Linked DNA regions of Cricetulus griseus. The protein of the gene in region 2 interacts with the protein of the main gene of each other region in a biochemical or structural test. Links are inferred from orthologs where the notes say so. Each region holds a gene or a part of one and is shown on either strand. Other genes may lie near its edges. The genes, in order: Shh and Ptch1.

Region 1 (9,853 bases), on a different chromosome or scaffold from region 2:
GAGCTCACCCCCAATTACAACCCCGACATCATATTTAAGGATGAGGAAAACACGGGAGCAGACCGACTGATGACTCAGGTAGAGACCCACTGCGGGTGGGAAACAGTCTCCTTCCCCTGGGGGATTGCGTGTGACCAAGCAGTCAGCCCTGCTGTTTGCTCTTTGGGCAGGTAGGAAGGCGGCTTGGCCCTCTCCTTCCCCACCCACCTGCCCACCTAGCACTCCTCTTCCGGGAGGAGAAAGGAGGTGAAGGGTCCAGCAGGAAGTTTAGGGTTTGGGTGGAGTGGGGGCACCAGAAGATGGGGTTCGCTTCGTCCCTCATTTAATTAGTCTCCGGGGTGGCCTCCTCTATCTGTGTCTATTCTAGCTTGTAACTTGGAGAGACCTTCACTCTGGGGGTATCTGCCTTTTCCAAGCGGGGACGGAAAATAGAGGGAATGGGGATGCCCCTTTACACTTCAAGGGGCCTCCAGGGCATTACAAACACACCCTGGAGCATTCCAGCTCCTAGCTCCTACTTTTCCCTTTTCTGTTTTTTTTTTTTTCCCCAAGACCACCCCCACCCTTTACGCTGCCACCACCAAAGAACTCTAACTGGGAAAGCCAGGGGGCAATTCTGACAAAAGGCAGGAGCTCCGGGGGCGCTCGCCTTGTCCCCACTGTATCCCATAGCCTGACTGCGATCCGTCGTCCCCAATTGTGCCGATCAGGGGGAATGTATTGATATTTCTTTAAGGATGCTCCTCTGTTCTCCAGAGCCCGCGGTACCTTAGGGGAGGGACTTGGAACTTGCTGGTTTTGCAATCGCTTTAATTTTCAACCTGCTTGCATAAGAATTCGAAGAGAATAAATAGATATTAGTAGCGGCGAGGGTGGATGGACATAGGGCAAAGCAAAATATGATCCTCTTTCTCATCCCACCTCCTTTGAGATTTCTAGGCTGTCAATCTCCCAGCCAAATCAAGACTTTCTGAAACTCCATGCACGTAGGACTGAAGCTGGAAATGGGTTTCCTTGCAAATATAGGTCAGCATCCTTTTTACTGCCCTATTAAAATATTCAAGTCCTACCTTTAGGGCTAGGTGCGCCAAGCGGCTGGTGGAGCGGCGCTGGCGGGGCACAGGAGCAGGGGGTGGGGGCTGGAGAGAGCGAGCGTGGAGCTGCCTGCTCTGCGACGCGCAGCTCGCTACCAGGTATCTGCTGGCTGAGAAGCCTAGTAGACTAGCCTTAGGGTGGCAGGCCAGAGCTGGAGCAAGGAGAGGGGGGTCTTGGAGACAGAGGACAGGGCCATTCTCCCCTGCCCCATCTCCCTCATCTGCTCCCGACCACCTTAAATCTGGACCGCGAGTGTGGGCGCGCGCGCAGGAGCCGGGAAGCTGCACGAGCCACAGTTAACTCTGAGCGGGCCGCGGGGCGCCGGGCTGGTGCAGCTTGCAGGAGCGAGTTCTCCCGCCAGCCCCGGGCGTTTATTCCCTGGTTGCCCAGCTCCCCGCCCCCCCCTTTCCGGGGGGATTGTATCTCAGGGCGAGTAGGTCCTTGGGAACGCTTAAGGGAGACGATGCTAAAGCAAAGAGGCCTGCTGAGCACACGCAAGGTCCCTCGGCCCGGGTGGGTCTGCGAGGGGCTCCCAGGCGGGCTCCCTTGCCCAGCGAGCCGGGCCTCTGCGTGCTGCAGAGCTGCGAGAGCGCCGAGCCGTGTGGCGTGGCAGACGCCTTTCAGCTCCACTTACTCCTGCGTTATCGATCCCGCGGCTAGGGTTTCAGCGCGCGCGGGGCCGGGCTCTGGCTGCTTGTCCCTGACTCTGCACGCGCCGAGCGCGCCCCGCCGGAGCGCAGGGCTCCGAGCGAGCGCGCTCATTCCCTTCGGCGCGCAGGCTGGGGTTGAGCTGGGAGGAGTCGTAGAGCAAGGAGCTCGGCGGGCCTGACCTGGGCTGCAACTCTTCTGCCGCCTTCTCGGCCCCTCCTGCTTTAGCGACCTAAACGGAAACCCCCAGCTACGTCCCTTCCCTCACTCCGGTCCTCCTGGCCCGGGACCCAAGGCCCAGCAGCCCTACACCGGGTCACTCTCGCTGCTGCCGCCGCCGCCGCCGCTGTGTGCGCGCGCGAGCAGCATTTGAACTTCTGACCTTCTGTCAAGTTCCTTCAGACGAACGAAACGAAAACAAATACTTTTTTCCCTTGGGCAGTGGCTATTCTGGTTCCCAACACAAAAAGGCTAGAGAAGCAGAAGTGGGGGTGGGGAAGGCCAGGCCAGGATCTTCTCACCCACCCCGCAAAGATTCCCCCCAAAAGATGAAGATGGCTGTAAAGGTGGCAGTCTGGAAGTTCTCCTTGGTACAACCCTCACCAGCCTCTTATTCCGGGTTGGCAGAGTTGAGAGGGAACGGGAGGAAGGTTAGAGGTGAAGGGGTGAAACCAGAGGATCTCGGGCTCAGGGTTTGAGCATTCTCCTGGGAACCTGCCATCGGCCAGCCCCTCTTGAGCCCTCTCTTCAGTCTCGCCTGCCTCCCAGTCTGTCTCTCTAAGGTGACTGAGCCCAAGTCCCTCAACCATGGCAGGATCGTCCCCAGTGGAACTTTCAGAGCAGTTCTGGATCGCGGGAGCTCCTGGTTAATATTAACTCCAGAGAGGGAAGCGCAGACAGACACTCTCCTTGCGCAGGCCAGGCCCCAGAGAGTGCCAGGCTGTTGTGCCCATGGCCAGGGGGCCTGGGGTGGGAGGCCGCGAGGGGCCTGATCTGAGGGCTCTGCCGGCTCAGGTGGGGAGGGGGAACCACCTGAGGAACCTGGCTGAATACGTCCCCTGCGTGCTTCGGTGCTAGCTGGGAAGAGGAGACCAGGTGTGGATCTGAAGAGTGGGGTCTGTCCCCGCCCCCGTGAGGGGAAGAACGGAGTGGGGTGTGTTTAGAAAGTACAGTCTCTTGAAGTGGGTCACCGCCTCTCTCACAATGTGGGAAGCCCACTTTTGGAGGTGACAGTCCCTGCCTGCTCTGCGCTCATGAACTGCACCGGTGTGCAGATCCGGGAGGTGGGCTGGAGGCCCAGGAACAACTTGGCCTCCGCAGACACAAAGCCGGGCCCCAGTGACCCTGCCGGGCTTCACGGTGGCTGCACAGAGTCGGGCTTGATTAGCGGCACACGACCCAATGAATTAATAACCGGGCTGAGCTTCCAGGCTTTGCCTGCGACATTCCCTCCCAGTGCGGGCGGGGGAGTACCCTGCATCTGCCTGCAGAGTCGCGCAGGGCCTGGTGCGGGGGAGGGCTGTGGGGCACCGGGTGCCAACTCAGGCGACAATCGGCGTTGGCCTGTCCGAGTCGAGGGCCCATCTCTGCCCGGAGTTCTTTGCCTGGGATTCTCCGCGTCTGCCCTAGTGGTGCAGCTCCGGAGCCCTCTTCAACCTACCCTAGCTTGCCCCTGCTGCGGGATAGGCAGCTTGTTAAAGCTACTTCGCTGGCTTCCCCCTGCTGAGAGAAGGGAGCGGGTGGAGTACGAGCAGGAATGAAGGAGGAGATAAGCTGCGCGTACCGTGGTGTGCGCCTGCGCGCAGTGACTTCGAATCTCAGTTTTAAACTGACCCAGGTTTACTTATTGATTTTCATGTGAAACGCGTTCAGTCCCTAAGGTGACCTCACTCTAACTCTGTCCTTTGGACTTTTCTCCTAAAGAAAAACCGCTGGCAGGCCCAGAAACCTGCCAGAGCGGACCTGTTGTTACTACACCCCTCCTATTTATTGTGTGTTTAACTCTACAATCATATTCCTGGGCTTTACTGCTGCCAGGTATACATGACTTTTCCTTTTGTCTGTCCCCAAAGGCCTGGGCAACAGTCCTTTCAAGAGTCCTCCTGGCTACAGTTAGAGTCTGTCATCTAGGGGTCATTCTCCCACCCCTGCAACCTGCCCGAAATCCTCTCAGCCTAAGGGATTGTGGGCGATCAGCCCTACCCTCTGCAGAAGTCAATTTGAAATCATCCCTGCCTCCACTGGGGTCCAGTTCTCTGGGTAATGTGCCCTTGCCATTTTGTCTCCAGCCACAAAGCCCCAATCAACATGCCACCATAAACTTCCAAGCAATGAGTTCCTGCCCCCCCACACACACACAGGACTCAGCTCCTTCCCTTTTATTACACCTTTTTTAAAATGTGGGCCAAGAGTGCCCCCCACTATCCCAAGTTCCACCTTGCCCTGCAAGGCAGGAGTGGAGTAACATGAGTTCCACAGCCGACCTCCTCTTGGGCAGAGCTCGGAAGCCTTGGGCCTTTCTGGCTCCCCATCCCCCTACCTTTCCCACCCCACCCCCATTCACTTCTTAAGTTTGCTCTTCAAACTTGCCGGACACCATTCTGTGCAGGGCCAAGAAAACAAGAGGGGAGGAAGAGAACCGGTCAAAGAAAACACGAATACAATCAGGCCCCAGACAAGCCTGGCAGAGAGGAGCTCCTTGGGGGAAAGAATGTGGCTGCCTGAACCAAGAATGTTTGTCCTCTGGCCCTGCCTGTGCTGGACACCCGCATTCACCTGCTTGCTTGTCCTTGGGCTGCTTCTTACCCCTCAGTGTTGCCTTGGCTTTCTTCAGGCCAGGCAGGCCTGGCCTCCACAAATAATGCAGGGTTTCCGGTTCTTAAAGTGCACCAGAAGTTCTGCCCCACTAAAGAGATACACTTGGGATCCCACTCAAGGAAAAGCTGCTCTTATTCCTTGGCCATGTAGCTGCATCTAAGTTTCTGCCTTGGAGACAGGCCCTCAGCTGGTTTCCTGGAGAACCCGCCTCTCCTGCAGCAGCGATGCCTCCACCCCAGGGTCCCAGGTCTGTGGTTGGTAGAGAAACTACCAACTAAGGTATTTGTCACTTAGACTTCCTCCTTCTCCCAACAGAGGTGCAAAGACAAGCTAAATGCCTTGGCCATCTCTGTGATGAACCAGTGGCCGGGCGTGAAGCTGCGAGTGACTGAGGGCTGGGATGAGGACGGCCACCATTCAGAGGAGTCTCTACACTACGAGGGCCGAGCAGTGGACATCACCACGTCTGACCGGGACCGCAGCAAGTATGGCATGCTGGCTCGCCTGGCTGTGGAGGCTGGCTTCGACTGGGTCTACTATGAGTCCAAAGCCCACATCCACTGCTCCGTGAAAGCGGGTAAGCAAGTCTCCCGTGGCCTTTCTGCACCACCCTCCACCTCCAACCATTCCCACCAGAAGGTCTGGAAGAAAAGGGGGAGGGGCATAAAAGCCATGAAAAGAGAGGAACGCTCTTGAAAATGAGTAGATTTCTGTTGTGGGGATATATCCTATGGCAGACACCCCACCACCGCACCCCAGCCAGGTACCTCTGCAACCTTTTAGGTCACTGGCCAGCATCTCTACATGTCCAGATTCCCAGACTGTGTGGTTTCTGGAACCCCCTGCTTCGGTAATAGAGACATAGGTGTCAGAGAGCATTGTGGAAGGGGGTCCTAAGACTCTCCTGGTTTAGCCAGAGCTCACCTTGGTCTTCCCTCTCATCTAGGGCTTAACCTACTGCCAGCACCACCACCCCCAATACACACACACACACACACACACACACACACACACACACACCAAGGTCCGAAGGGGCTGTCCAGGACATAAACCTAGGTACTGGCTCCTCCCCGCTGGGCTCCTGTGGATTCAAAACTAACTTAACTTACTGGCTAAGTCTGTGGGGGAAAGACCTGGTGGGAAGTAATAAACTCTACTTCCAACTTCGGGAGGCCACAAGCCCAGAAGCATCCGTTCCTATTAGAAGCCCAGCTGGCATGCAGAAAGCCCCTGGCTAGACTGCCTAAGGCGATCCCACCGGAGCCGCTGCCCCCAGCCAGTTCGAGTTCCCCAGCCAGAGGCGGAGTTCCCTGGGCCTGCAACGCCACACTCTGTTGCGGGGAGGAACAGCTAGGGAGGCAGGCAGCCAACACACATGCAATAGCCTCTAGGGATTGTGTGGCCCGGGCAGGGCAGTTCATGGTGACTTTTACGTAAAGGTCTGTCCTCCCCCACCGCCGCGCCCCGCCCCGCCCCCTCCCGCTCCCCAGTTCCCCAAAGTGTATTTTAACAACACATACTAGCTGGAAACTAAACATCAAGAAACACACTGACTAGGTAAAGAAAAGTGTAGCTCTGGCAACAAAAACTAGCTAGGACGCGCGCAGGAGCGGTGACGGGAAGGCCTGTTGGAAGGTGTCAGCTCCAGGAACCCCCCTGGAGCGGGCACTCCTCTCGGGCCAGGGTGAGAAACGCAGGTGGCAGTGACCCAGGCTCTGAGGAAGCTCTTCCCTGGACCTCAAGTCTGTGCTGGACACACAAGGCCTCCCTGCCACCCCGGTTCCTGGAGCCCCTCTGGCGGGAGTCCCCAGGGGATCTCCCAAATGAGCAGCGGTAATCCGGCTCCGAGGGTCTCTCGCAGGCAGTGCAGACCCCGGCCGGCCCCGGCCGTGGAGGGCAGCTCATTGGCATTCTGCGCACGCGGGCTGGGACACCGCGCCTTGTGTGTCAAGCGGGGTCGTGCGACTCGAGGACTCCGGCTAGCTAGAGCCCGGGGTCGCATTCCGGGGGGCTATGGAGTGCTTCCAACCGCCAGCCCCGCACTTCATGCCGGAGAAACCGATGAGAAGATTAAAAGCCTTCTGTAATTCCAGCAGGAAGATTCTTTCTGGCAATCTCTATTTGCCAAAAGCATGATCCTGGAGATTGGAATGCAAAGAAGACTGGGACCTCCCCACCCCTCCTCCCTGGCCCCCTGCGCTCCGCCCCATCCTCAATTATTGTCCTCCGGGACAGTGAGCCTCCGAGAGCTACTGAGGGCTGGGTAAAGCGGGTAGTCAAGGGGCCTTGAGAACCCGCGCTTCCAGAGCTCTGAGCAGGCCTGGCCATTTAAAATTCAAATACACATCTCGAGTGCTTGGAAGAGAGGCCTGGCTGTGCAAATAGTGCCTTGTGAGGCCCGGGCTTCTGGAGAGTCCCTGTGTGTGAACTGCACGAGGGGGAGGGGGGCTGCACCTGAGCAAATAGGGAGGGGGCGGCCAGCGAGCTGGAGAGTGAGCTGAGAAATGGGGAAGAGGGAGAAATGGAAGTGCCCCCTCTTCCAAGGCTGTCTCCTATTTGTCCCACAAATCACAATGACAATACCCGGCTCTTTATTGGATTTTAATTAGAAAATCCACACAAGTCTTGGGCTTTCACACCTCGGGCAAACCTCTGGAATGTTTGTCCAGTTGCTACAACGACTACAGCTATTTTTTGCTCCCCACCCCCTGGCCATCCACTGGCCAACAACCAAGGCCCTCACTGGGGAAGCCAGAGGCGGGGGTGAGGTGGAGAGCCCGGGTTCCCCAGGCTCAGCCTCCTCGCACCGCGCACTGGGAGGCGCCGCGCCCTGCGGTCCGGGCGGGCGGGCGGGAGAGCGGGCGCGAGAGAGAAGGGTGCGCCCGGCGCCCGCGCGAGCTCAAGGAGGCTTCCTGAGGAATCAAGTGGAGAGTAAATATCCTTCTGGGTTCGCGGCGAGGCTGGTGCAAGAGAGGGGGATGGGACAGGAGGCAGAAGGAAAGTTGGGAGTGCCCCTCGCCCCCACCCCCACCCCGCCTCCTGCAGGAGATGCCAGCTAACTTTTCCTGGTGCCGGTGCAGTCTTGAAGGGTCGTCTGAATTCAGCCCCTGGGTCGCTGGGATTGCTGGCGCAGGGCGGTGTGTGCTAGACCAGTCAGGATCTACGAGACACCGCCCCCCTCCCCGCCAACACGCCTCCCCTGCCCATCACACGCGCGCCCCTGGTCGAGCCGAGTGGGGCAGGGACTGCACGGCCACGCACACGCACACGCACACGCACGTGAACACCCCGGGCGTACCTGTCTCCTTTGTCACTCAACACCCCGTCTCTCTTCCCTGCAGAGAACTCCGTGGCGGCCAAATCTGGGGGCTGCTTCCCGGGATCCGCCACCGTGCACCTGGAGCAGGGTGGCACCAAGCTGGTGAAGGACCTACGTCCAGGAGACCGCGTATTGGCGGCTGACGACCAGGGCCGGCTGCTGTACAGCGACTTCCTCACCTTCCTGGACCGCGACGAAGGCGCCAAGAAAGTCTTTTACGTGATCGAGACCCGGGAGCCGCGCGAACGCCTGCTGCTCACCGCTGCGCACCTGCTCTTCGTGGCGCCGCACAACGATACGGGAGACGCGGGCCCCGCACCCGGACCCAACGCGCTCTTCGCCAGCCGCGTGCGCCCCGGCCAGCGTGTGTACGTGGTGGCCGAACGCGGCGGGGACCGCCGGCTGCTGCCAGCCGCGGTGCACAGCGTGACGCTGCACGAGGAGGCCGCGGGCGCGTACGCGCCACTGACGGCGCACGGCACCATCCTCATCAACCGTGTGCTGGCCTCGTGCTACGCAGTCATCGAGGAGCACGGCTGGGCACACCGGGCCTTCGCGCCCTTCCGCTTGGCGCACGCGCTCCTGGCCGCGCTGGCGCCCGCCCGCACGGACGCCGGGGGTGGGGGCAGCATCCCCGCACCCCAACCCGCAGCGGAGACGAGGGGCTCAGGGCCGGCCTCGGGCATCCACTGGTACTCGCAGCTGCTCTACCAAATTGGCACCTGGCTGTTGGACAGCGAGACCTTGCATCCCTTGGGAATGGCGGTCAAGTCCAGCTGAAGTCAGAGGGGACTGGGCAGGGGGTGTGGGGGCGGGCGGGGCGGGGAGCCACTGCGACTTCGAGATAAGCAACCGGAAGGAGACTTTTAATTATAAGAATAATAATTATTAATAATAATAAGTAGGACAGTCCAAAGTAGGCTATAAGGAAGCAAAGACCCCGGGGAGTTCTGTTGTTGTGTTTAGTTTATATGTATTTTTGAATTTTTTTCGTTATTGTCTTATTTGGGTTATTTTCTCCTCTCCTGGCTATTTATTTGTTTGGTATAGATGTTTTAAATAATATGAACGGACCTTCAAGAGCCTTAACTAGTTTGTGTCTTGGATAATTTATTATCGTGTGAACTGTACTCACAGGGGGGGAAAGATTATTTTGTGAGGCCAAGCAACCTGCTGAGAGTCTATTTTTCTATACTCCCTCGTCCTGCGCATCAGAAGGCAAAACTCCGCATTCTTCTTCTGCTAGGGTCCTGCTTTTCGGCAAGTGTAAACTAAAACATGCTCCATGGGGGTCCACAAATTATATTTTTATACACAGAATTGTAAATTAGATTTTTGAGAGATCAATACTTAACTGAATGACATTTCATTTTTGAAATAGTGTAAAATATGAAAATATATTATTTTAATTTAACTATTTTCCAATGTAACAGCCGTCTTCTGTACTGCCTTCATGGTTTGTATTTGCTTTGTATCTGCCACTTTGGTCATGTTCTTGGAAATCAAGACTGTTAATGCACACATACACACTTTTTTTTTGACAAACTGGAAGAACTCTGTTATTTTTAACTTTAAAGAATTTATTAGAAAATAATATTTTTTAAAAGCGCACATAGCAGTGAGCCCACGAGGATGGAGCCTGTAGTTTGTACAGAGAATAAAAGGATGTTTTTGCATTAATAAACTGAGAAATAACTGCTGTAAATTTACTAAAATGTATTTTTGAATATTTTGTAATAGTTTTATAGAAATAAAGTGTGCCACGCACCCAGTGGTTAGTAGATATTTCCTGAGAATTCCTGTTGCGACCCTTTTTTTTTTTTTTTTTTTTTTGCTTCATTTTCTGGGAAATCTGCAGCCCCAGTATTCTGTTGAATTGTAATGTTGCTACTGTGAATTCAGACCCACTTGCTTAAGAAACCAAAGTCAACAGAACAAATCCACTGTCTGCTCTCTTCACTGGAGAGACCTCAG
Region 2 (10,650 bases):
AGGAGGGCAGATTGGCTAAGTCAAAAGAAATACCATTGAGAAATGGGCACAGTTTAAAAATAAATAACAAACAAACAGCCAGTTCCCTTCAGCACCCTGAGAAGCAAATGCAAACACTTCTGGTATCAGGAAGGGTACCAGGAGTTAATTAAGAATCACAGATCCAGGGCAGCATCTTGAAGAAAGAGCCTGCAGGCCCCTCCCAGACCTTCCAAGCCACCAGATGCCCAACCCCCACTTCATTCACTCTGTCACTGGAAGGTTAATACTGAAGGCCACCCACCCAACCACACACACACACATACAATTTTTGAGCCTTCATCCATCCTCTTCTTTCTGCCTAGAATGTCCCTCACCTCCACCTTCCCAAGTCCGGGACCATCCAGAAATCCCAGCTGATTTCCCTAACAACCTGGCAATTAACCATCTATTGACTCATCTATAGACTGTCACCACCCTTTTTCTCAAGAGTTTTGGACAAAGTGCCTGGTGCAAAGTAGGCACAGAGAACTCACACTGACCAAATACTCTCCTTGGAAAAAACAAAACAAACAAAAAACATTTGTGACTCTTGTGTTTATGTGACAGTAGGTCCCCAACGACACCAACGTCTTTATCAAACCTTTTTGGTCCATTCACAAGTAAGCTCTTGTTGACATCTGTGACATGCAAAAAACAATCAGGTTGGCACCTCACAAACAACGGGCAGTGTCTTGAAAGGCAATCATTAAACCAGCATCTTAACAGAATCAAACGTTATCACTTATGCGTGCATAGGCGGTGTGTGGTGTGTACCTGTGAGCAGGGCGGGAGCAAGGGAAACAACGGCTTCATCTTTGTGGTGAAGCCACATTTCTTCAGGAAGCCATGAAGTCAAGGCTGTGGAGGAGACTCCTGCATTTCCTGAAGATATGTATTTTGGCAGACAGAGTGCTCGTGCACAGACGCACATACAAGCACAAAGGCAACTCCTCACAGGCGAAATAGCAGCCTTTCTAAACTGTCTTCCTCCTCTCTTATAATCTGTCTTTCCTCCCTTCTTATGCTTAACTGGGGACATGAGAGACCTCTCCTCATCTTGTTGGGGCGCACAGCAAACTCTCGGCTCCTATAATCACACCCAGGACCTGGAGGAAGCATCAGGTAGCAGATGACTTTGCTAACAGTGATGAAGAACTTATCTAAGAGACTGAAGCAAAGATGGAACCCAAACTTGGGCCTACTGCTCACTGTAATTCACTGACCTCCAGTGCCACCCATAGCCACTGGCATTTATTCCGAAAAGCAAAGGCTCACAGAGTAACACTAAATTCCATAGGCCATAAACAAGACCTCCAGTTACTGTGGCATTGGGTTCCCCACATCCAGTTTAATCTATGAAACTTGTTTCCTGTAGAAGGAAATCAAGAAATAAGTGAATGAGGAGGCCAAGGCAACCCTAGACTAAAGACCTAAACCAATGGTAGGAAAAGTGAACAGGAATGACAATGTGGATGACCACTCCCAGTCATTATCTGAAAGGGTCTTGGTACGTCTGTTATACGGAACATCATATAGATATATACGATCATGTTACAAAAAATTAAAGTAGTAGGTACTTTACTAAGTAAAGGCTTGCAAAAAATACATACTACCTGGAGTATGGTGGTTGCTCAAAAGCATTAAGTGTTCCCAAGAGCAATGAGCTGTACTAAAATGCCAATGCAGGAAGGAGCTAAGATCTGAGCCTGGAGTTGGGGAGTTGGAGTGGCTCAGAGAAGGAGGGTTTGCCTATCATGCTGGTACCCCAGGTTATCCCCTGTATTAGCTGGGGGGAGGGGTCCTTAAGATGCCAAAAGCAGGCCAGGGTGTGTCCTAGCCTAGTAGGGCGTGTCCCCCTCACTGAACACCTTCCCACTTAACCTGGAGTCCCTCTTCATAACTCTCCTGTCATTCTTGAAACAACTGCTCCAACTACTAAAAACCAAATCGTTGCATGGTCACTGGTGTAGAAAAATCCTACTGTGGACCCTGGAACTCGGCTTCTACACTGCAGGGTCTTTCCCCGGTCTTGCAGGCAGTGGCCTGTTCTACTGCAACACCCTCTTGCCTCTTGTCTCTCCAGTACCCCAGCCTGCCTCAAGACCTCCACTAAAGTCTCTTTTCTCCTAATTTAATTTTCATGGACCAGCTCAAGTGTAAATCTAAATCCAATGAAAATGCACTGGATTCCAGTAGGCTGAGGCACAGGGCACTGGCACTGGGCAGTGTCTCCTATCACAGTATAGAAACTCAGGAAATTTGTTGCTAGGGGACTAGTGGGTGCTCAATAAAACTATTCCCTGAACTACCAATGACAAGGAAGCAAAGTGGAGTAAATTACCTAATGGAATCAATCCAAAAGACACTTTTGTATTCATTAACCAAGCTGCTCAAGGCAGGAATGCGTTCTGCTTTTAACGATTGGGATTATTATTTTAATTGTCACTTTTCAACTATTATTTTAATTGTCACCTTTCAACTAAATACTCCACCACTAGTTTGCAAAACACCAAAAGGGGAAGGTTCTGGAAGGTTAGTTTCCAAGACCATCCTGAGGAATTACTCAAAAACTCCGCTTTCCAAGTTCTGTCCTGGGTGGTAGATAAGCACCAGATATTTGGGGTTGAAACATCTGCCCAAAGCAGTGTTTGCCAGAGGCTAAAATGTTTTCAAATAAGGGATTGATACTTTTAAAAGAAATAACTGAGAAACGACCAACGAAGAAGAAAAGGAAAAGAAAGTCTATGATCACAAAGGACGTAAAAGCATTCATGGTGGTGGGGGTAGGGGGAACCGGAGAACCTATTTTCAATTTACAAGTCCTTTTCTAAAGCAGGTCCCCAACCCCCCAAATCGAAGAACGTGGATAAAAGACCGGCACACACACCCCAGGGGGAGCTCCCGTCGCCCCTCCCATCAAACCTGCATTCTTTAAAAAAACACATTTCTTTCTTGCAAGACTGCCAAACACAGCCTCCCCCCGAATAATTCCATTTAAAAAGTCCCCATCCGCGAGGAAACATTAATCTACTTTGCAAACACGCTTTCCAGTTTGTGCTTTACTATTTTTTCTTCAATCCCCCCACCGCCCCCTTTTTTTTTGTACCTTGAGACAAATGTTTTTTTCCCCCAGAGTTGAAAGCTGTCCAAAAACAGGACCACACACGCGGCCGCCTCCGCAGGCCTGCGCGGCGCCCGCCCCCCGCGCGCCCCGGGGGCGCGCACACTCCCTGCAGCTAGAGGGGTGGCCTTGCCCTCCACCCCCTCTCCTTTCTCCGCAGACGCGGTGGGTGGGTGGGGGGAGGGAAGGAAGCCTATCCCAGCATCCCAGATCCAAGAGGCCTTCCTCCGGCCGCTGGCACCCTGGCCAGAGCCAGGCGGGCGGAGCTGGCGGACCTCAGGGACCACCCCCCTTCGGCCCTGCCGAGTGGTCCGTCCCGCGCAGGGGCCTCGCGCCCCCGCCACTCTCTCCCACCACACCTAGCAAGGCGCAGCGCCCCGAGTAGATTACAGCGAGGCCTTTGTCGGGCGGGCCTGGCTGCAGGCCAGGCATGCAAACAATAAACAGTCGCCCCTGGTGCGGGCAGGGGCTTCGCTGGCCACGGCGAGGCTCTAGGTGCAGGCTGGCAAATATCTTTATCAAACACTGGGAAGGGAAGGAAGACAGAGGACGCGCCAGCGGCGCCGGGGTCTCTTACCTTCCACCCACAGCTCCTCCACGTTGGTCTCGAGATTAGCTGCCTTTAATCCCACAGCGAAGGCCCCAAATATGAGGAGACCCACAACCAAAAACTTGCCGCAGTTTTTTTGAATGTAACAACCCAGTTTAAATAAGAGTCTCTGAAACTTCGCTCTCAGCCACAGCGGTGCTTTCCGGCCGGTAGCCTTCCCCTGGGGACGAAGCAGAAGGGAGGAGTGAACGCCCGGGAGTCGCTAACGGCGGCGCACACCCGCCTGGGGATCCCCCCCCCAACAGTGGGGGGCGTGGGCGGCCGTGGCGCAGGGACTTGCCCTCGGGGCTGGAACCAGGACTAGTCAGAGGGAGCCCTGGAGGCGTGGGGGACTAGGTTGTAAATTAGAGCGAGGCTGCAGCGTGAGAACTGCACTCTAGGTACCACGGGGTATCCCCACGCATGGCCTGAGCACTTTCCTGAATGAGACTTGGGGTGCTGGGGAGAGAGGCTAGCAGAGGAACCGCCAAAGACAGGCAGGCACTAGTATCGAGGACCTGGAGAGAGAGGGCCTGAGTGATCCTAGCTGAGAAGCCCAACACTAAACCACCAGGCCACGACTGCCCCCTTGCCCTAAATCCGGCTCCAGCCTTTGGCCTCCTTGGGTACCCCGGAGGGCGGGTGAAGAGCGCAAGCACACTTAGGGACAATATAAAGCTACCGTGGCCCACCTGGCCCCCGGCCTGGCGGGTGGTTGCACGCGGGGGTCCACGTGGTGAGCCCGGCAGCCGGGTTCACTCCACACACTTTTCCACGGCCTTGGGAGACTCCGCGGGAGCTCAGTTAGGAAGTGCAGCAGCCATCTGCAACTTACACTATTTGTGCTCTGAAGAGGGCGGCCATAAGGATCTTTCCCTCCTCTCCCACTCCCTCCTGGTGAAATCTTTTAAAAAAAAAACAGCCGAGTATACGGGGAAGAGGCCCAGGCTGGCGCCGGCGGGGGTCCTGACTAGGCGCAGGCTGCTGTCGGGATGGCGGAGCCCTGGTGCTGGCCAGGGCCCCAGCGGGCCCCAGGCTAGGTGCTCGCCTTCCCTGGATTCCACACATTTCAGCCAGCCTCGTAAACACAATGAACCCGGCCGTTCCTCACACCAGCACCGAAGATTTAAGGTGGCAACTTGTTTACAACTGCCCTTCTCCCCGGCAGGCTGGGAGAAGAGGCGGCCCAAAACCTGGAAGAGAGGGGACGTCCTCTCCCGAGAATAATTTTTAAGGGAGCAGAGATTTCAAGCTCAAGGAAAGCAGAACCGGCTGCCAAAAAAGGAAACCACCTTTACTTTGGCTCCCTCCCCTCTGCCTCTCTCCGCCTCTCTCCACTCCGCCTCCACCACGAAGAGGTTAAGAAATGTGGCAACGCGGAGGTTTACGCTGCAACGGAGGCAGGGGCGCGGGTGAAGGGCGCTGAGGCCGGGGGCAGTGCTGCACTGCGGCCGCCCTGGAGGTGGTCCACTCAGGACGGTTTCCAAAGCTCCGGAAAAGGCACACCAGGGAGGGCGTGTGCGCGCGCACACACCACACACGCACACACACACGCACGCACGCACCCCTCCACCCCCTGCGGACCTCAGACAGCCCTTTCCTCCGAAGTCCGGAGGGAGGGTTTGAAATTTTCAACCTTCACTTGTCTTCTGCTTTCTCAGGAGGGTGTCTGTGTGCGTGTGTGGCAGGGATCCCAAAGAGGAAGAAGAGGGAAGAGTGGAGGAGGAGGAGGGAACAGACATGCACCTTGGAAATCTGCTCCAGAGCGAAGGCGGCGTCGCAGTAGCTGGGCCGGTGCAGATAGTCCCGGTCCGGCGCGGCGCGATGCGGTCCCCCGGTCCGTCTGCGCCTCCCGCCGCCGGCCTGCCTGCCCAGGGCCCCGGCGGCGTTACCAGCCGAGGCCATGTTGCCGCCGCCGCCGCGGGCTCCGGGCGCGCCTGGGCGCTCGGCTCGCGAGGACGCTGCTGGCCGCCGGGGACTCCGGCTCCGGGTGACAGACCCGCTGCTGCCGCTCACACGGCGGGCGCTGCGGGTGCTGCGGCCGTGGCCGATGCCGGGGACTCAGACCCTGCGCCTTCCATTGCCACATTGCGCGTGAGTCCCGAGGTCTCTGCGGCCGCTGCTGCCCACATCCAGCTCGCGGGAAGGCGAGAGCCGGCGCTTCCAGGGCGCGCCTCGCGGTCCCCAAGTCCCCCCAGACGTCCCCGCCCCGCGCCGCGACCCCTTCACGGCAGAAGGCGCGCGCAGACCCCCGCCACTCGCTCTGGGTCCCTAGGCGCCCGCTGCCGGCGACGCGACGGTGTCCGGCGGATCTCAGCGATGCCGGGCCGGGGCAGCCGCTGCCCCCGCTGCTGCTGCTGCGGCTGAGGTTGGCGGTGGCGGCTTCTGAAGCGGCTGCTCGTTCTCGGACTGCTGGGTTCGCGGTGGCTGCTCGGTCCCGGACTCTGCTTTCTTGTTCTCCTCACCGACCCGCTGGACCATTCTGCCCCCGCGCTGCGCGCCTCTCTCGCTCCCGGGACCTGGGGACTCCGCTCTGTGTGTGTGCAGCGGGCAGCGGCCGCAGCAGCTCCTTGACTCAATAGATGAGATGGAAGAAGAAAAAAAAGAACTCTCTCCATTTGGAGAAAGAGGAGGAGGAGGGGAGGGGGTGGAGGGGGAGAGAGCGAGCGAAAGAGAAAAAGGCTGGAACTCCCGCCCCCGGGGCTGTCAGATGGCTTGGGTTTCTGCGACGCGATTGGCTCGCGGAGGGCAGAAATTACTCAGCAAACATGACTATTATTAGCTGCTTAGCAACAGCTCACCAAAGTAGAGAGACCACCCAGGTAGGCAACCCCCGTGTGTGCATCCCCGGCTTGGGGGGGGGGGAGGACGGACTCGCTCTGCGCCAACCTTCTCTCATGCAATACTTCCATTAAGGAATGCTCCCCTCCTTTCTTTCTTATTTCTTTTCTTTTCAACAGTGTCTTCTTTTTGTGAGACGTCTTTTGCGAGCGCGCGCGCAAACACACACGCACACGTTCACACATACAGGAGCATTTGCCTCGCGATAGACACGGGGGATATGTAATTTTTTTTTAAGCGCTTAAACAATTTCTGAGATTCCTCAAAGAAAACCCTTTTAGAGACATTTTGGCCTCAAGCAGCAGCAAATACTGGGAGGTCCGCCTTGAATTCCCAGGCCTCCACCAATAATGACAGGGCGGTGGATAGTGCGCCCGTGTGTGCCAATTTTTTTTTTCCTCCTCTTTTCTTTTATAACCAAAGGCAAGACTTAGACTCTCGCAGGGAACAACGCCTCGTATTAAGATAAACAAAATGGAAAGTTAAAGAGGAGAGCAAGAATGTTGGGAAAAGCCACCCTTTTTTAAATCCCCTAGCACCCCCCCCGCAAAAAAACCAAACATACACAAAAGCACAGTCCAATTTGAAAGAGTTTGTAAAGAGAACTCATAGACTCGTAGAAGTAGAGGCTTTTAAAATTTGAATCTGTAACATATATTTAAATTGGTATGTATATATATATATACCAGTCTCAGCAGCCCAGAGAAATGGAATTGAGAGATTTCCAGATTATTTGGGTTTCATCTGGACCCCCACTTTTAATTAATCACATTCTTAAATAAAGTCAGTTTTAGGCTTTTAAAAAATAAAACTCGGTATGCATCCTGTAATGTTTAATAGTGTGACGTAGGAGAGAATAAAGGCTTTGATGTCGGATTCATTTGAAACAAATTGTGCACAGATCGCGAGGGTTTGTCCCGATATTGCTTCCAGTGTCGCCAAGACATCCCTGGGATTGGCTTTACGTTGAACAAAAATCATGCGACCTTCACAGGAGGGGGGGGTCGGCTGGGTGTCGTGGAGCCAGAGACAAATTAAACTGTCTGCACAACTATACTCTTTAAGGAGGGGGGGACCACTGAAGAAAGCACATTCCATTTTCAATAAGTTTTCAAGTTCCTCCCTACAGCAGACACCAGACCCAGAAGCACTGGGTTCTGCGGCATCCTCTTACATTTCTTCTCCCACTTGAACTGCAGAGGGAACTGGAGTGGTGAGAAGCCAACTGGAGCCGTGAAATGGGGCGGTGTGGCTTTAAGATGCACACGGTGTGTGTTCATTGAAAAAAAAAATAAGAAGAAAAGGAAAGAAAGAAACCCAGATGGAGGGAAAGGGGGAGGAGCGGGGGAGAAGGCGGAGCCTGCTCCGCCACGTGACCCAGACCCAGAGGCCTGTCCGCGCGCACGCGTTATCGCTCACGCGCACGCGCGCTCCGGTCTGGGGCCTGCGCGGGGCGCGGGCGCAGCAAGTAACCGGGTCGGCCCGCTGGGGTTGCGCGCCCCGAGCCCTTCACGCCGTTCGCACCGCCTTCCCGGGCCCTAAGCGGTGTGCGCGCTTGGCCGGCGCGGACAGACGTGCCGGACACGCCGTAGTACATTCTTGAAGGCGGCCCGGCCCCCTCGTGCTGCCCAATGCGCGCACGGCCTCCCTGCTGACGACCAATGGCTGCGCTTCGGCCCTTCCATTCAGTGGCGCAGGCGGCGGCTAGGCAGGGGCGATGCAGGGGTGCGCGGCCACCGGCGGTGCACGCGGCTCGGAGGTGGGGAGGGGGGACTTCCCCTCCCACCGCGTTGCAGTCTTTGGTCGCTGCCTAGGCTGCCTCTCCTTTAGCCTTATCTCTTTCCGGGCTTTCCTAGAACTCTTAGCCATCTCGAATCCCAAACGCATAAAACCTGTGCGGTTCCTGAAGCCGAGTGGTGAATCTGAGAGAACAGTGACAGAGTAGAAGCGTTTGGGGGTGCTCACAGGATAAGGAACAGGACCTGGGGGCCAGCGCGGAAATTCAAAATTCCTAACACCAGGGAGCACGTGATTTTCCAACGACTGAGTTTCGGAAGTGCAGCTGAAAAATCTTGTAGGGAAGGCACGCAGGGTGAGGGGAAGGACACTCTTAAAAGAGAGCAAAGCGCTGGAGGCAGAGCTGTTAAGCCTGGGAGTAAAATCCTTCTCTCTTGACAGTTTGGTTATCAGCAGAAAGCAGAAAAGGCTGGACCGCTACTTTAGCTTTCACATTTCGTACTCTTGGAAATTGGACTGTTTTCCGGATCTTGAGGGTGACACCCCGAGTTCAAAGGTCAGACTGATTTTAAATTTGAAGCTGGCCCTAAATATGGCAGGCAGGTAACCACATAGCCCTATGAAAGCTGTCTTTCAAATTCCTTACAATGTTTTACTCCTAAGCATTTGCTGCTCCTCCCGCCACCCCCCAGGTTTTTTTGTTATTGTTGTTTTGTTTTTTGTTTTTTTACTTCTTTGGTTGCAGTATAGCCGTTTGGATTCTGGGATTCTAGGATGAAACTATAGTCTAGCTATGCAAAGCCTCTTCCACTCGGGCGCTTTTCTCTCGGTTTGACTTAATTCTTAAACGTTTTGAACATGGAACCCTGAGGTTTGCAGCGCTCTGCAACCCCTCGCCCGCTGTTTGATAGGTTAACTTTTCAGCATCCAGACAATGGTTCTGACCTGTAAACTCTACCCGCAGGTTTCAGGACGCAATCCCCAGGCTCTCTCTAACAGGCGCTATCTTAATCTCCCCAGCCCCCACCCGCCGCTTCCCCTGTGGTCTGCTTTTTTCATAGAGATGAATTACTTTGGGGATCTAATTGGCCTTGTTTCTGTAACGTTTTAAGAAAGGGAAGAGGAGCCAGTCTAAAAAGGCTGCTCGACTTGGGTGGTCAGGGCCGAGGCTGCCCCCAATTTGCCTCATTGCTGATGCATGTGAGTGTGACATTCCCAGCGATAATGTTGTTCCTAATCAATCTACCCTTATTTACATTTGTAAGCATTGTCGGCTTTAATATGCATGCCCTGTGCAGGGGGCCGCTGAGCCACACCGGGTTTGTTAACTTCCAGCTAACCGCAAGGATTCCACGGACCTGAGAGGCAGAGTGGGGGAGCCAGGCCTACTAAGGTGTCTGTTGGCAGTTCAGTCCCTTTAAGGGTTTTTCTGCCTGGTGACTCCCCCAAATAACTGAGAATTTAGGGCTTTGACCAGCAGGAATTGCCTGCCTCTGTGAAGCCAGAGTTGAGTGACCATCATCCCCTCTTCCAACTCAAGTTCAACTGAAGACATAAATTGTCATTTTTTTTTTCTCTAATCACAACCCAGGACTGTAGATTCCCTTCATAGATTCCTTCAAAGCTCTGGATTCCCTTACTGTCTCCTCCCCTGCTGGTCCCAGTGCTTTAGCTATCCATAGCCATGCCACACACATCTCAAAAATGACACCAGATTGTCCAAGTGCTAAGATGACACTTGAGATAAAACATCTGCCCTCTGTGTTGGAACGTTCCAATGGTGCAAAGTTGTGGGTGCCAGGCTTGTTGAAGTTTAAGTTTTCACTGGCTTCTCAGATGCAACTAAGTGAATCTTTAAGATCCACATAAAGGGGCAAAGGTGTTCCAGCCATTTGACCGTAGACTTAGTCATAACTTTCCCCATCAAGTTTAATAGTCTTCCTGAAATTCATAGAATTGCAAATATGATACTAAAATCCTACAATAGCCTTGTTGCAAGGATGAGATGCAGTGAGGAAGGGAGTGTGATATTCTGTGGATGTTTCAAGGGGAGCATCCTTGTAGGGAGGAGGATGTGGTGTTTATGTGTGATGGCTAGTATAGGAGACAGACGTGAGTGTCAGGCAATAGCCAGGGAAGTTCAAAGGCATTTTGAATAAGAATTAAGTCTTCAGCCAATATGCCACCATTTTACCCCATTTTCTTAACTCTCAGGAATGTCTTATTTCCTCAATGGCAGTCTGTGTATTTATAGCAGCTGTACAGGGAGATGGCAGAAAATGAACCTAAACGGTTTCAGGGAGGAGGGAAGGAAAGATTCAGAAGCCACAAAAGTGTAAAA

What was found.
Region 1: the proteins of Ptch1 (region 2) and Shh are reported together in a solved structure, tested with the Homo sapiens proteins (5 studies listed by BioGRID and IntAct, with this or other methods). The link is inferred for Cricetulus griseus from reciprocal best matches to the Homo sapiens genes PTCH1 and SHH.

The regions. Positions count from the first base shown.
Region 1 is NC_048601.1:94,252,442-94,262,294, forward strand, and holds the end of Shh (sonic hedgehog protein), read left to right. Parts: coding exon 1-78; intron 79-4,875; coding exon 4,876-5,137; intron 5,138-7,901; coding exon 7,902-8,659; downstream 8,660-9,853.
Region 2 is NC_048596.1:281,137,707-281,148,356, forward strand, and holds the start of Ptch1 (protein patched homolog 1), read right to left. Parts: upstream 5,637-10,650; coding exon 5,478-5,636; intron 4,921-5,477; exon of another isoform or gene 4,567-4,920; intron 3,913-4,566; coding exon 3,720-3,912; intron 3,235-3,719; exon of another isoform or gene 3,128-3,234; intron 1-3,127.